Lepisosteus oculatus: one gene and its partner. The protein of the gene in region 2 interacts with the protein of the main gene of each other region in a biochemical or structural test. Links are inferred from orthologs where the notes say so. Each region holds a gene or a part of one and is shown on either strand. Other genes may lie near its edges.

The links.
Region 1: of the proteins of usp33 (region 2) and arrb2a, one has a biochemical effect on the other in vitro, tested with the Homo sapiens proteins (2 studies listed by BioGRID, with this or other methods). The link is inferred for Lepisosteus oculatus from reciprocal best matches to the Homo sapiens genes USP33 and ARRB2.

What each region holds. Positions count from the first base shown.
Region 1 is NC_090698.1:12,348,691-12,356,580, reverse strand, and holds the start of arrb2a (arrestin, beta 2a), read left to right. Parts: upstream 1-4,874; 5' UTR 4,875-5,073; coding exon 5,074-5,096; intron 5,097-5,116; exon of another isoform or gene 5,117-5,775; intron 5,776-7,890. UniProt on the Homo sapiens protein: Functions in regulating agonist-mediated G-protein coupled receptor (GPCR) signaling by mediating both receptor desensitization and resensitization processes.
Region 2 is NC_090704.1:3,776,553-3,784,280, reverse strand, and holds the start of usp33 (ubiquitin carboxyl-terminal hydrolase 33), read right to left. Parts: upstream 3,019-7,728; 5' UTR 2,815-3,018; intron 1-2,814. Other genes in the region: miga1 (mitoguardin 1), read left to right, coding at 6,816-6,920. UniProt on the Homo sapiens protein: Deubiquitinating enzyme involved in various processes such as centrosome duplication, cellular migration and beta-2 adrenergic receptor/ADRB2 recycling.

The sequences.
Region 1 (7,890 bases), on a different chromosome or scaffold from region 2:
CATGTGACAGCTAGCGGCGACCTGGGAAGCCCTCTTACTTGACGTGTGAGAGTTGTCTGCTGTCTCTGCCACACGGTGCAGTTACCTCCTTAACAGCAGCAGTTCCCTGCCTCCGGCCCTGAAGGAGCACCGCCTGCTGGTCTTCACTCCAGCTGAGCTCTGCTCCTCCAGCACTGCTGCCTTCACTCATCTGCTTGAGCCTCTAGACTTTTCTTTTACGTGTTCCTTCAGTTTGTTCACAGGTGTCTGATTTACTGTGAGCATATCAGACACACCCACAGTGGGTGTGCGTATATCAGAAACAACCACAGTGGGAGTTGTTCTTTATCAGACATACCCACAATGAGCCTTTCTTCTGCAGCTCAAATCATATACATGTTCAGCAAACACAGCTCAATGAGGGCAGTTCTGAAAACAGTGCAGAATACAGATTTCAAATCCTATCTGGCCTCGTAAGAGCTAAGAGCAAATCTACAATCCTACCCCAGTCAGAGCCAGTGATGAAGATCTCGAATGGAGAGCAGACCAGAAGATTTGGGGTTCCTACAGGACCGGGGCAGCGAACCGTGACCGTGTGTGCGGAGGTGCAGGCTCTTCCTGTGCTGCACTGCGGGGCTCAGAGACTCGAGCTTACACAGCTTCCTTCTACCTCGGCACAGGATCTCCTCTTATCGATTGCTTTTCCTGTGTGGTTCAGACGGGGCACAGACAGGGAGAGGGGACCTGGGTGCATGTTACTGTGAAGGAGCCTCAGCGGACAGGAGTTTGCAAAGACTCTGCCCTTTTCGGGCCCAGCCGTTGGCCCGTTTGCACTGGTGTGCGAGTCAGTCTTTGAGCCCCGCGTGTGAGGAGGGTACCCTCTGATTGGACCTCGCAGTGGTCGACCCCCCCCCCCCAAAAAAAATAAAAAAACACTACACAGCAGCTGTATTCCAGTATTGTAACAAGCAGCACAATTTTGTAACACGTTGTTTTATAGAATTTTTGTAAGAACAAAATGCTTTTTTTTCAGAAGCCTTGTTGATGTGAAGCCAATGATTAAAACCTGTTTTTCTTCTTACCCTGCTGAGTTGTTTGGCTTGTTCTGTAGCAGTTCGCTCACCAAGGCAGACGTCCTCAGAAAAGGCTGGTAGGAAGAAGAAATTTGGGAAAAGAAATGCAAATCTGATCCTCCTTCCTTCCCAGTGACCCCATTCCCAGCAGGTAACACTGTGATCCGTGACTTCGATCTTGTCCACTGTCTGTCCGGGGGGTGAGGAAGAGGAACAGACTCCCAGCCACTTCTCCTTGACTCCAGAGGACATACGACAGACCAGACCTTCAGAGGTCATATGAACCCCATCACTTTGCTAAAGGAGCAGTTAACTATAAAACAGCTCGCAGTCAAGTTGGAACTCTTTTATTTCAACACTTAATTAAATAATTAGGACAAATTTAGATAGAACTAGATCCTCCAGGAACTGGGTTTAAGACCCCAGTAAATCTCAGAAGACATTACAGTCTCCAACACTGACTACAGTCTTCATCAATGTCACAGTGGGATAGGAAAGCGACCTGATTCTAGCAGCTGTGGGAATTCTGGGATTATATTTATTTAAGGGAAGAATGTCTAATTCTTGAGTGTTACTCATAGTGCAGTAGAAAGTGTATCTCCCTGCTGGCAGTAGGAGCACAGCCTGTCCTCACATTGTGTCCAGTTTCTGTCCCATCTGTGATCATTGAGCTTTCCTTTCTGGACAGCCCAGTTTGCCTGTGTCCAGTTTCTCTGTCCAGTCTGTGGTCCCTGAGCCTGTCCTCTCTGGACAGCGATGTCTGTCTGTGTCCAGTTTCGCTGTCCAGGAATCAGTGCAGTGCAATTGTAATACAATGAGCAATGTATCACCGAGTCGGTGGGACAGCTTTCTGTCAGCCCAGTCCTCTATATCTCCTTCAGGCTTCTCTTCACTTCTCTTCATCATTAAAAAAGGTCAGTAGCTAATTAGGTAATTAACGAACGCATGTTGTCTTTTTGTTTGCTAATATGCTCTCCAGTGTGCATTCCTAGACAGACTGCTAGCAAAGTATAACGCTGGACACTCGTCTTATTTTGTGTGTGTGAGCCTGTTGCAAACCTGGCCAAGGCCACCCTGGGCCAGAGCGCTGAGGAGTGTGATGACAGTGACAGTGTAGCCACTAGGGGTCGCTACAAGCACCTTTCATCCAGATCATCAGCCAATAGATAGCGGCACAGTGGCTCAGTTGTGAGTAGTGCTCCCTTGCAATGCTGGGGCCCTGCCTTCATTTCCTAGGGTGCTGTCTGCGTGGAGTTTGTATGTTCTCCTCGTGTTCGCATGGGTTTCCTCCAGGTGCTCCGGAGGTTTTTATCAAAATAACCTTTCACAAACACATCTCACAGTAGTAAACTTTCTAACAGATAATCAGACTCACATGACATAAAAACTTCCTCACTCAGGTGATTGTCTGTTATCAATCAGGGCAAGTGGATGGATTTACACAATGAAAGAGTCCCTCCAAGCCCTACCACTTGCTTTTGGCCATGCCATTTCCCTGTCCCGGCTCTGAAACTGCGGAGCAGGAGCTCAAGGAACAGGGATTTCCCAAAGTCCCTTCCAGCGCTCCGGAGGATTTGCTGGTAGATTAAGTGGCATATGGGAAAAATGCCCCTGGTGGGAATGTGTGTGTCCTGTGGTGGACTGGCGTCCCATCCAGGGTGTACCCTGCCTTGTACCCATTGCTTACTGTGTTAAGCTTCAGCTTCCCCGTGACCCTAGACTGGATAAGGCAGATTCAAAAATGGATGGATCTGTCAGGAGAATGTGGGAACTGTACATGGAGTTTGTTACAGGGCAGAGTCACCAGCTGTGATATTAGGCTGCACTGAAGAGAAGTGATAAGCTGGATGTGTGGGAGTTTAAGTGAGCTGGAAGGAGGCCAGAAACGTTCCTGGAATTTCACTGCACAGCACAGCATTGAGCACAGAAGTCCTCAGCAGCCATCTGTCCCATGGGGAGGCTGTATACGCACTGGAGGTGCATTTAAAACTAAGACCAGGAGGCACGTCTGTCCACCAAGGGCGGTGGGAGTGTGGAACAAGCCATATTTTGTAAACGGATACTTTGACTTCCACTCAGAAACGCCAGGATGAGATCCTGGGATCAATCACCAGATAACAAACAAAAGGGCCGGATGGTTGCCTCTCATTTGCCACCCGTCTCATGTTCTTGCACAAGGACACTGGGGAGTTCCTCCAGCAACCTTGTTGTGAAAGGCGCTAGAGAACAATAAATGGAATTGAATTGAGAGTTCGACTGGGGAACTGCCCGTCTCATCTGCTCATTTCAAAGTCCGTACTGCTCATCACCGCTCAAATCCAATGAAAAACAACAAAGCACATTAGAGTGCAGAGAATCACATAAAGAAGAGTGAAAGCACCCATTGCCGCTGAAGCCCTGATGTCTTCTGGGGGCAGCGACACCAGACCCTGTCACCCCCAGAGTGCTGATGAAACACAGGGGAGACACAGTAACCAGAATCAGCTGAGCAGAGGTCCCATGGAGGGGAGCCGACAGACAACACATCGACCGGGGAGACAAGCCACATAGAGCTCTGACCATCCAATCAAATCAAATCAAAGTTTATTTATCAAATGCACAACACTACAGCGTGCAGCAGTAGTTGCTGGCAATGATTTATTTTTTCTGTGAGCTCACAAAAATCACAAAAATGAGGTTATGAAAATAAGGTTACATAATAGATGTAATAGAAATTGAAACTCAATGAGTAGAGCTGCTATGTGTCCATGGTGCATGCAATATACACAAGTAGTGCAGTTATGCTGAATACAGTGAAATCTGTGTTAATGTAGCCATTACAGGTGATTCACATAATCAACTGAAAGCCAGAACAGGAGAGACACAGTAATATTACAACTCACAAAGCGTTGTATTAGTGGGTCCTGCCAGTGGGTTTTATCACAATTATTAAAAACAACGATCCTGTTTTGTTGGAGACAGAGACATGGACAAAGTCTCTATGGGAGCAGGGCTGGATGTGTCTCTGCTGGAGACCCCGTACTGACCGGACCGGGGCTGGAGACTCCTGTACTGACTGGACCGGGTCTCTTCAGTACCTGGGTTGAAGACTCTTATCATAATCTGCACATGTGAGAAATCGTTTCGGGCTGACGGCTGTATCACATCAGTCTTGTGTACTCTGTCCTCCTGTTCATTAGTGCAATGCGTGCGCACTCGCCGCGGTAGCCCTAAATAGAAGTTTCACCTCCGGAAATATCAGAGGAGGCAGAGAACAGTCTAACGTTTAATTAAAAAAATATATATTTACATAAAATTAACGTGTAACAGACTGCGAGCGTGCTACGGAAACCCCTAAATACTGAAGGCTTCATTAACCCCCAGAACCGGGGGAGCATTTTTTATTTAGGCACTGAAAATTCAGCCAACTTTAGGCACCCATCCGTTCGCTCCCTCACGGGTACCTACAGTCACACCAACTCTATCCAACAAACCATTTTCGATGCATTAATTTCTGCACCTCGGGTTAAAAACATCTATCCAAAGACACTAAGATCGTATTCCGAAGTGCGTAAACAAATTCGTGCGCTGTAATTGGGTGCTGCTGCTGTCCATCAAGAGGCAGTACCGCCTCTCTTCCCGAACGGTAAATTTTGACTGGCTGTTGCGAGAAGAGTAAATAATAATACAGTTTTGTAGGGCGATGATGTCACGGGAGTCGAGGCGGGAACCTTTGCTTTCCTTAGGCGAGCGAACAGCTCTCCCACCGGAAGGCTCCGATTGGTCGGCGGCGCTGTCGTTCCAGGCGAGCGGTTGGCTAACGCGGCTGTCCGTCAGTGACGGCGGGCGGGGCCAGGGCGGCTGTCAGGTTGTCGAGCCGTTCTTCCGTCTGCTGGCTGCGGAAACGAGAGAAAGAGAGAGAGAGGGGAGGAGGGGAACAACCCGAGCGAGCGAGTGTGTAAGTCTGCGAGCGACAACGGCAGCGAAGGAGGAGGGCGCATTCTTAAAATAATCAAGAATAAAAATACTCAGCCGGTCGGCGATGGGGGACAAGGCGGGAACCAGGTAAGGGAGACATTTCCTACCCCCGCAGCGCTTCGTGCGCCGAGCCGCCGCCGTGGAGCGGAGCTGGAGGGGAGTTTAAATCGCCAGGGCGGGTGCGACGGTGCGCTTCGCGGTGGTACTGCCGTGGACGTTCAAGCGAAAGAAGGCAACCCCCCCGCGCGCGCACACCCTCGAGAAAGGGAGTGAAAATGAGCCGCTGAGATTCCTGTTCGCTAGCGCGCTGCGGAAGAGACGTGAACACGACACGGTAGCCGTGGGTGGCTGGTGTGGCGCGGAATCCTTAATAATAACATTAATAATGTCGCTGCCCGCCCGTGTCTCCTCTGGACTGTGTCCCTCACAGCGCCTCCGTCCTGCTGCCGTTGGGGTCGTGGCTCTCTAGGTGAGGAGCTGCGTGTTTTTTTTTGTGTGTCACCTGCGTGTCTGTGGCGAGACTGGCTGGCGTGACCTCAAGCAAACGCCTTCGTCCGTGTTCCTCCAGCGCCTGGGAAGATAGAGTATCGGCTACGTGGGGTGGAAATGTGAAAGGTTGGGTTCCCGGTGCTGGTGGCCGCGCTGTGCCCGTCTCCTTGTGATCTCCTTGCGATGTCGTGACGTGGTGTTTGACGTGTAGTTTACATTTCGATACCCACGCACACGGACATGTATGCGGGAGTGTGCGTCTTTATAAACAGGCGCATGCAGCTGCACATCCCTCGGCAAGGGGCGGTTCTGTTTAGGGGTTTTGTTTTCCTCTCTACGACGGAAATCGCTCCGGGTCCGTGTCTCGCAAGAGAGGAACCAACTATAAAAACCCGGCAGCTCCAGCAGTCTGCGCTGCGCCCGGGGCTGCCTGGCGTCCTGACGTGCCGCCCGAGAGAGATGGGGACCGTGTGTATCTGTCTCTCCCCCGCATCCGCAGTATTCACCTCATCAGAGAAAATTGGATTCTCTTCTGCATTTCCCTCTAGTGTTCTTGCGTGTCCGTGACGGGGGTGGAAAGGAGGGTAGAGAGAGGTGGCCTCTTTCTCTCCAGGCGCGTCCGTGAGGGTCTGTGGAAAGGTCTGCTGTTCTTCGGGTTACCAGCGGTCCAGCTGTGAGGACCGCTCAGGAGGACCCGTGAGATAGGGGCACAGTCGGCCCCGGGTGGGGGATGAGATCGCTGGGGTCTCTGCTCTTCCTCGTGCGTGAAGAGGCTGTGGATCCGGTCCGGGAGGTTTGGGCACAGCCTCGGTGCTCCGGGCCGGAGAGCAGGGGATGTTCCTCATCTTTCCCAGGAAGGGCTCGGGGGAGAGGGCCGTGGGTGTGTATATGGGGGGGTGTCTGTGGTTTTCCAGGCCCGGCTCACCTGGCTGCTGATTTGAATTCCAAATCAAGTTTGCGGAGGAGGGAAAGATCCACCTGTGAAGTAGGAGGCAGAGTAGATGCTGGGGGCTGTGATGAGGAAAGTGCTATCAGAGCTTCCCCAGTACTGGTCTGGGGGGGTCAGTGTGTCTGCAGGGTGTCCAGTCCTGGTCCTGGAGGGTCAGTGTGTCTGCAGGGTGTCCAGTCCTGGTCCTGGAGGGTCAGTGTGTCTGCAGGGTGTCCAGTCCTGGTCCTGGAGGGTCAGTGTGTCTGCAGGGTGTCCAGTCCTGGTCTTGGGGGGTCATTGTGTCTGCAGGGTGTCCAGTCCTGGTCCTGGAGGGTCAGTGTGTCTGAAGGTGTCCAGTCCTGGTCCTGGAGGGTCAGTGTGTCTGCAGGGTGTCCAGTCCTGGTCTTGGGGGGTCATTGTGTCTGCAGGGTGTCCAGTCCTGGTCCTGGGAGGTCAGTGTGTCCAGTCCTGGTCTTGGGGGGTCAGTGTGTCTGCAGGGTGTCCAGTCCTGGTCTTGGGGGGTCATTGTGTCTGCAGGTGTCTAGTCCTGGTCCTGAGGGGTCAGTGTGTCCAGTCCTGGTCTTGGGGGGTCAGTGTGTCTGCAGGGTGTCCAGTCCTGGTCCTGGGGGTCAGTGTGTCTGCAGGGTGTCCAGTCCTGGTCCTGGGAGGTCAGTGTGTCCAGTCCTGGTCTTGGGGGGTCAGTGTGTCTGCAGGGTGTCCAGTCCTGGTCTTGGGGGGTCATTGTGTCTGCAGGTGTCTAGTCCTGGTCCTGAGGGGTCAGTGTGTCCAGTCCTGGTCTTGGGGGGTCAGTGTGTCTGCAGGGTGTCCAGTCCTGGTCCTGGGGGTCAGTGTGTCTGCAGGGTGTCCAGTCCTGGTCCTGGGGGTCAGTGTGTCTGCAGGTGTCCAGTCCTGGTCCTGGGTGGTCAGTGTGTCTGCAGGGTGTCCAGTCCTGGTCCTGAGGTTGTCAATTAACTACATTACAAAGGGAGATTGGGCTTTCTCTATCAGAGCCCCTAGAATCTGGAACAGTCTTCCTTTAAAATTAGGACAGCAAATGGGTTTCTAAATGAGATTTAAAAGACTAAAACCAATTTTTATAGGCTTGAGGCAATAGTGTTAAAAATACTGATTTTGATCTTTGTCAGATACACCCATGTTGCCTAGTGCACAGTCTTGTTCAGATTTTGTCCATGTTAAGAGTGGGACTAAAGTACATTATCTTTTGCATTTGTATCATGTGCTGGTTCCTTATCATATTCTGTGCGTGTTGATAATGTTAAGAACTGCAGCAATATGTCCGCTGTGTATGTGCGTTTCCTTGTTTTAATCAGGATTGTTAGTACGTTTCTTAAATTTACCTCCTAACAATGCATTCATTTTATTAGTGTTTTAATGAGAAACACTTTGTGCTGTAGAGCTGGAAATGTTCTGTTTAAGTAAAGTCATAACTGATTATTGTCTAAA
Region 2 (7,728 bases):
AACACTGCCCTCTACTTTAAAGCAGCACAATCAGAGGATGCTCACTTGACCTTCACAGTGGGTGACACTTGAGCCCTGAAATCACCACTGTAGTGCATGAATAAAAAAAAAATGCACAATTTAGGAGAACAGAGCTAATTTACATAAGTAGTGCACAGTGTCACCTAACTGACAAGGGCACACCTGAATTAATTGTTGGAATGAATCATAATGACCCTCTGCCACTTTAGAAGAGGCATGAAATGAACAGACACCCAGCCTCACTCACATGGAGGGTTTTCTGTAGCCAAAAAAAGAACATTTCATACCTTATATGACCAAATCAGCTAAAGCAGTTTTTTTTTATTCCAATATAATTAGAGTATCTAACAGTTGAATTGCTTGTTAATGCAATCAATTCAAAATAAAGCCACAAGAGGAAAAACACAAAATTTCAATTAAAGGCTGTAAGACTGTCCTTGAGTACCCCGGCACTCCAGTGCTGCTGCTGTTCAAAAGCAATCCCAATTATGGCAATTTAACACAACGGATGGCTCAGCAAATCAGCATCCACAGCCCTCTGATCCGATGACTTCAGGGTAAACACGGAACCACACAGGGAACCCACAAAACAATCCAACAGGGGCAAGTGTTCTCCAGAAGCACGATTCTGCTTCTTTCATTGATAACTCTTCCCTCTTCTTCTGTACTACTCAACTCTCTACACTTGCCCGTTTAATACAAACTTAAGCCTCCAAATACACTTTCAAATGCACTGACAGTAACATCTTTCATTTTTCACACATTGATGATGAGTAATAGTTTAATAGTATTTCCTAGAACACCTTAGTATGGGCTGTTCAACGATCTAAGCAGCGCGTGGCTGTTTTCCTAATGTTTTATCGGCTGCCGTTTCAGTGCAAAATCATGACCTTTAAAGCATACTGATACCGTACTTCATACCTTGTCAGCGCTCGGGTGCTTTTAAAAGCCTGCGGCTGCAAGACTTGGTTAAAAAATAAGTGGCTGCCTCATGGGAGAGAGATGCACGTCCAAACACAAACATGACACCAATACAGGGGTTCCCACGCTAATCCTGGGGACCTATGCACCTGCTGACTGAGCTCTCAGTTGCATGAACCCTTAATTGACCTAGTAAGAGGTACACTTTCCCCTCTTTAAATGCTCTCAGTCCCCAGACGTATTGGAAGCTCCCTTTTAACTCTTGTGATTCATGGGTCACACAGAGGATCTCCAACTTGCACAGAGTCAAAAAGGTTCCAATCGAGCAATGTGCTGGGTCAATTAAAGGATTCAATTACGTAACGAGCTCAGCTGGAATGGAAACGAACGCCAGTGCGATCCCCAGAACCACAAGCCCCTGCACTAAAGTACTGAAGTCAGTTTTCTTTTAATGCTAAGGAACTTTCTGAAACCTGAGTGATTCCCTACTGTTAAAATATTAAACACGTTGCACTTTCAGATTATATAACATTTTCTTGAACTGCGAATTTATCCTCTGAGCAGAGTGGCAAGAAACAGTTTTCTCAAGGCACTTCTGGCTTGCATACCGATGGTAACACAGCTGACAGAGTGCCAACATCTTATAGACTTTCAATGTGATACTTAAACATAACGATTTTACTTTCTAAACTTCCTGCCAGCAGCGAACACATTTGTGAGTTATAGTGCTGGTTTTATTACCGTTTTCAGAAAGACAAGGATGCACATACTGCAACAGTAACACACAGAATACTCAACCAGCACGCATTTATGATGGATTATTAAGAAATATCATCAATAAGATGGTTGTTATTATTATTATTATTATTGAAAGAAGAATAATTATTTTTATGAATGAGACCAAGCTTTATCTAGATAAGGCACATTCAACTGATAAGACTGCTCATGATATTTCACTTTCAGACACGCAGGTGGGTTTTTTTTTTAAACAGATTCAGACGAAACCCCCCTGGCATGAGGGCGCTCCAGAGCGCCGGCATTTGTAAGCATTGTAAACCTGACCCCAACGTGACGTGCCCACCTTTAAACCCAAGAACCACGCGTTCCCGCAGCGACACTGCTGCAATAATATTGCAATTAAAAAAAAAAATGAAGGTCCCGGAATGACGGGATTCCTAGTGAAATGTGAATGCGTTGCGTTGCAGGGCCGCTCATGCTCAGGAAACGCAGTGACGCGAACTGCACGATGCGTCTCCTAACAGGTGCGCACACCCCTTCAGTTAACCATCACTACCAGCTCCTTCAAAACACCGGGCTGAACAAGACCAGGGCACACGAAAAACCCTGCACAATAACGGGGAGGCTTGGCTTGTCTCACCGCCTGACATCTGGCCATTTCGGCGGAGGGCTGGCCTTAATTCGCTACAAAAAAAAAAACATCCACAAACCCTCATGAGGTGCGGCTGAGTAACTGCGTAACGAGAGCTGCACAATGTAAACCGAGGTGCAAACGATATCGGTAGATAAAGCTGCTTTTTTGCGCGGTTGGTTGGGTGGTTGTTGCTTTTGCTCTGGTTTTCGATGGAAACGACCCAGACAACCTAGACAAAAGTCACTTCTCCGATATCCGGGGGGGCTGGAGTGACAGCTACTCGCAGCCGAGAATAAATGAGCAAGTTCCAGCCAAGCACCGGTCGCCTCCGCGCTCCTGCGAACAATTTGGCTCCAGAAGAGCCGCACCCCCACCCCCCCCCGGCAGAAATGTATGTTTCTTCACCCAGCCATGATGAAATTAAATATCCCCCCGAAACAGTGACATTCTAGAAAATGCCTGGCCAACGCAACCGACTGCAAACACCGTTTCCAGCCTACCTTCTCAAAGGAAACGTTGAGGGTCGGGGGGAGGCGGGGTGTAGTTACTCCCGTCAGAAAGGCAGCGGCGTTACTGTATATCCTTTACATTTTCGGAGAAATGTGCCTCGTACTCGACCAGCGCTCAGCTCCCAGGTCGCTGCTGCTCCTGCTCCTCCTGCTCCACTACTTCGGCGGCCGATGCCCGCGGGGCAGCTCCTTCCGGTTCTGCACCGTGGAAAGTAGGCTCGCACGATCGCCGCAGCGCCGCCTAGCGGGCCCTGGCCGCACGGCTTTTCCTGCCCGGGAAGGGCGGCGCACTGGGCAAGCAATGACACAGGCCGGCGGGAGCGAACGGTGGCGCACCCACAGCCCCAGTGCCCCCCGGTGGCAGAGCGGTGAACTACACCCTCTGGAAACAAACAACCACTCTAGTCTCCTTGAGGGGTATTGAATGCTAATAAAAACAACTAAACCCCATAAATAGTGAAATCAAACATCATATAATTTAACTTAATTTTAGTGTCTGTAGCTGCTCCATTTTCTAGTTCTGCTAGGACTTCCTGCTCAATTAAATTGTACCATATTTAAAACAAAAACACCAGAAAGGTATAATGAAATATTTTTAATGAAGACTCTTAACTGTACTTTGATCTCTCTATTTAATTATTATGTTTTTATTTAATTTTTGAATGCTTTTCCTCTTCTTAAAATTATATATTTTGTGGCTTTTTTAATTTGTTGCCAAATACTTCCCTCTGATATCTTTTTTATCCCTGATTGTTAAGAAATTTGTCCACAATGGTTTCAGCATGCCTGAAAGTTTGAATTTGTCCTGAACATCTATTTTACAAAAGCTTGCGCCGTATGTATTTGTAGGATATGGACTATCATACAAAAACAATTAAATATGTATTTATTAAATAATGCTACAAATAAGTGAATATTTTCTGGAAAAATAATTTGTGGGACCCTTCAGAACTGATATAAAAATGGATTCAGAAATTTTCTGCAGTCTAGCATGTTGCAGAAATCAATTCTTAATATTATAAATGAATTATTATGATTAACAGATTTATAGATTGGTGGAAAACAAATTACTTTATATTCTAGCAGTAATGGCAATGCTGATAATAATTGATTGTTCCTCCCCTGTAACAGAGTTTCAGTTTTTACATTTTTAAACACAGAAATCAGGTAGAATGAGCTAACCCCCAATTTAAAGTTTAAGCAGCAGTTACATTTGACAGGATCCCCACTAGAAGATTCCTGGTGCAATTTCCATTGGGTTCCAGTAGAAATTAGCAAAGGGTTTCTCATGGTCTGAACTGCTATTTATTGGTTTAAGATGCTCAAGAAATTAACGTCTACTGGTAATGAAAATGACTACCATCAGACAGCGTGTCTCTCTGTCATAGTCTTACTGAATTTCCTCTTTGGGCTGGTGTTTTGTGAGGCGAGTCTGAGAATTTGCCAATTCCATCGCGCATCGGCTCATACTTCGGAAAAGGAGAAGGGGGGAGGAATTTCTGGACATTTCAAATGAGTATGAAGGCGATTGCAACAATAGATGCGAGGCTGGTGGGCGCACAAGGGTGTCGCCCACACAGATGCAATCTCAGCACAGCCCTGAGGCTGCTGCAAGGCTGTTCTCTGACCCAGGAAGCAGTTCCCAGCGCCGACAAGTTGCTCCGTCAGGCTGCAGGCGGCACTCATTCACTCGCTGTTGCAATTGAACCGTGAGGCTTAATTAGCGATTTCTGGTAGCAGCTCGGGAGGGTGGGTAGGTAGGTAGGTTTCCTCGTCTTGAAACTCCGGCATTTGGCTGCTGCCGTGAAGACCGCGCTATTAAACTGACGGTAAGGCTCTGGTCTCATCAGTAAGGTGTACTGGCGACTGCTAGTCTCTGGTATAGGGACCGGGGCGGTGTGTATGCGTGTGGTGGTGGCGGGGGGTGTCGTTTTTCTTCCTGACAGTAACAGTACAGGCAAAACTGCATGTTGCAATTGCAAAATGTTTTTTTTTGGGGGGGCTCCCCAGCGCCCTGATTGTCAAATGTATCCCCCCAGTAGCTACTGCTTTGAAAGCGAGCTGCCTGAACTACTCCTATTGTGCACCTGCCTTCCTTTGACTTGTAAACGAATCAAACGCACAGATTTCACACGTTTTAGGGTTCGGCTATTACTGGAATTAGGTTTATCGCTGGTGCCGGCAAGCGATTTAAATGTATCATCAGTTTTGTTAACCGTTGTTTATTATGAAACCCGAACCGACATTGGCAGTAGTACACAATGGTTTATTTCTTTGTGTTGAATTTGCGTAAGTGCATGCTGCCGTCTGCAGATATGGTAGTTGATATCGTTTTTGTTGATTGCACAGCGCAGGGTTATTGCAATTTTGTTAAGCCCATTTTGCTGGTAAAAGCCGCACGGAGCTACAGTAATTATAGCCCCTAACAGTCCTAGTTCGTTTTATGATTTTTCGTTTGACATTCTGCCACTTGAAATTTAGTTTGAGAATTAACGCTTATATATCTATATGTTATAGACTTAAGCTGTATTGTTTGAAATCTTTCATTCGAAATCTTCCGTCCAAAGGAGAGTTAACTAGGTCAACGAACAAGCGTTTCGAATTTTTCTTCCAGGGAATGTGTGAATAACAGACCCACAGGTGAGCAGTAAATGTCGAAAGGGCAGGTTCTCTGTGCAGGTAGGAGCTCCAGGTCTCCCCCTTGTGCCACGTGCTCTCGTTCACCTCACAGGTTTTTCAGCGGGGGGGACTAATGAGCCTTAAAGACCAGCGCCTACCTAATCGTCTTGTTGATAAGCTTTCTAGCCCCAGTCTGGTGCTGTGATCAGCCATGAGGTCCTTTTGCATCGCAGACGCATACGGAGCTGAACGGTTGGCAGTTGTGCTCAGGGGGGTACAGCTCCAGTCCTGGGGGGCCCACAATGTTCCTGGGGTTCCTTACACGTTATTTGAGCTCGTTATTTGCTTAATGGGCCAAAGCTGAAGCCCCTCCTTGTCCCGAGAAGATGGGGGTTTAAAGAGGTGTGTGAATCCTGCTGGAGGGCAGCCCTTGAGCACGGAGATCAGATAGACGGGGAGAGAAGCAGGGGGTCAGAGCGCAGGGTCGGCCATTTATACGGCGCCCCTGGAGCAGCTGGGGTGAAGGGCCTTGATCAGGGGCCCAATGGAGTAGGATTCCTCTGCCGGCCGCGGGATACGAACTGGCAACCTCCCAGCCACAGAACCAACGCTCCGCCCTCCCGATGGGCTCTCCCGAGTGGCACAGCCCTTAGTCAGTCAGTTAGTTAGCGAGCTGAATCCGGGCGGCGTTGCTTCGCCTCGCTGCGCACGAGGGCGGTGGAGTGTCCCTATCCCGAGGAGGGGGAGAGGCCTGTTGGTGCACAGGCACATTTGGGAAGGGAAACCTGCTCAAAAGTAGGGCCTATGAATCAGGTCAGGTATGTTTGCGAGCAGTCTGCCGAACGCAGCCTGCGAGATCGCTGTCCCGTCAGCACCTGCTCTGGGCTGGGGAGGGACAGTTGAGGGACACGAGGGGCTGATCGTGCGTTTATATGTATGCAGATCGGTCTTTGTTCTAGCAAAGGGGGGAGGGAGGAGGGAGGAAACAAGATAAAATATCGTTTTTTGAAAAGCGAAAATGGTCTCAGGTCAAAATGGGCTTCGAATAAGAACCGAAGAATCCTGACAAACGAGAGGAGACCTGTTTGGCTCTTCTAGCCTGTTTTGGCAGGTAGTGATGATAGTGATATAGTAGTGGTAGTGCGCCGGTCTCTCTGCTGAGGCGGTTTCGGTACTGCGGTTGGCACTGTTATGTGCTACAGCTGGAGGTCAGACAGTAGCGCGCCTGGTGCCGGATGATGAGCAGTCGGCGCTCAGATATCTGTCTTCGGGCTGTTTCCCCTCGTCCAGGAGCTGTCCTTTAAGCAGCAGCGGAGGCCGCGATGGGCATGGGGTAAACGGCTGCTCGGGGGGGATTATGGGAGACGGGGAGCATGACTGAAGACGCGCTTAGTAACGTCAACTCCCAGTCGTCCCTGAAGACCGTGGCGCTGCGGGTCGGGGAGCTCCCTCTTTCGCTCTACAGCTCCCTCCCACAGGTAAGGGGTCCGGCGCTGGGCTGGCGCTTCGTCCTGGGGACTGTTTTGCGGCGGGCGGGGGGGAAGGCCAGGAGAGACCCTTCATGCAACAGGGAGCCACTGGGCTTTGTACAGCCGCAGATAAGATCACGACCCTGGTGTTTCGGGGCTCGGTTTCACACTGCGGCTGCTCTCTCATCACTGTTGCATGCCTCCTTCATGCTCTGCATCCTGATTCCGCGCCCAGCCCTGCTCTGCGCACACACAGACACATCTGTGTCCCACCCTGTTGTCTTACTGCGCGGTGCCTTTACAGCTGAGCTGCTCCATTGATTGAAGCGATAACACTTAGTGGCTCTGATAAGCATTCCTGCCACACACGAAACTCACAGAATCCACGTTCTCAGTCCTGGTTTTGTTCCTAAATAATGCAGTTTATCAGGAGAACTGATATCCATAAGGAATAATATGATTATCTTGTGAATTAGTTTTCTTAATTGATGACGTGTATCCAAAACTGAGAATAACAATCCTGACTCTGTATCAGGTTTGATCCTTAATACGGGGCTTCATATTGATGTAGGTTGTGTTCTCGAAACTAGGCTGTGCTATGGTGCTTTTGTGTTGGCTACAGAGACTGTTGTGTTCAGACCGAAAACGTTTTCTGTGGGAATGGGAGACGAGTAAGGTTGCGTTCAGAGGCCCCAGTGTCGCCAACGTGCCTGTTGGTATAGAAGCATCGCTTGAGGAATGAGTGTTTGAATGGAGAGCTGTAAGTGTTCGATCTCCGTCAGTGCGAGGCGAAGATTAGAAAAGACGGATGTGCCTC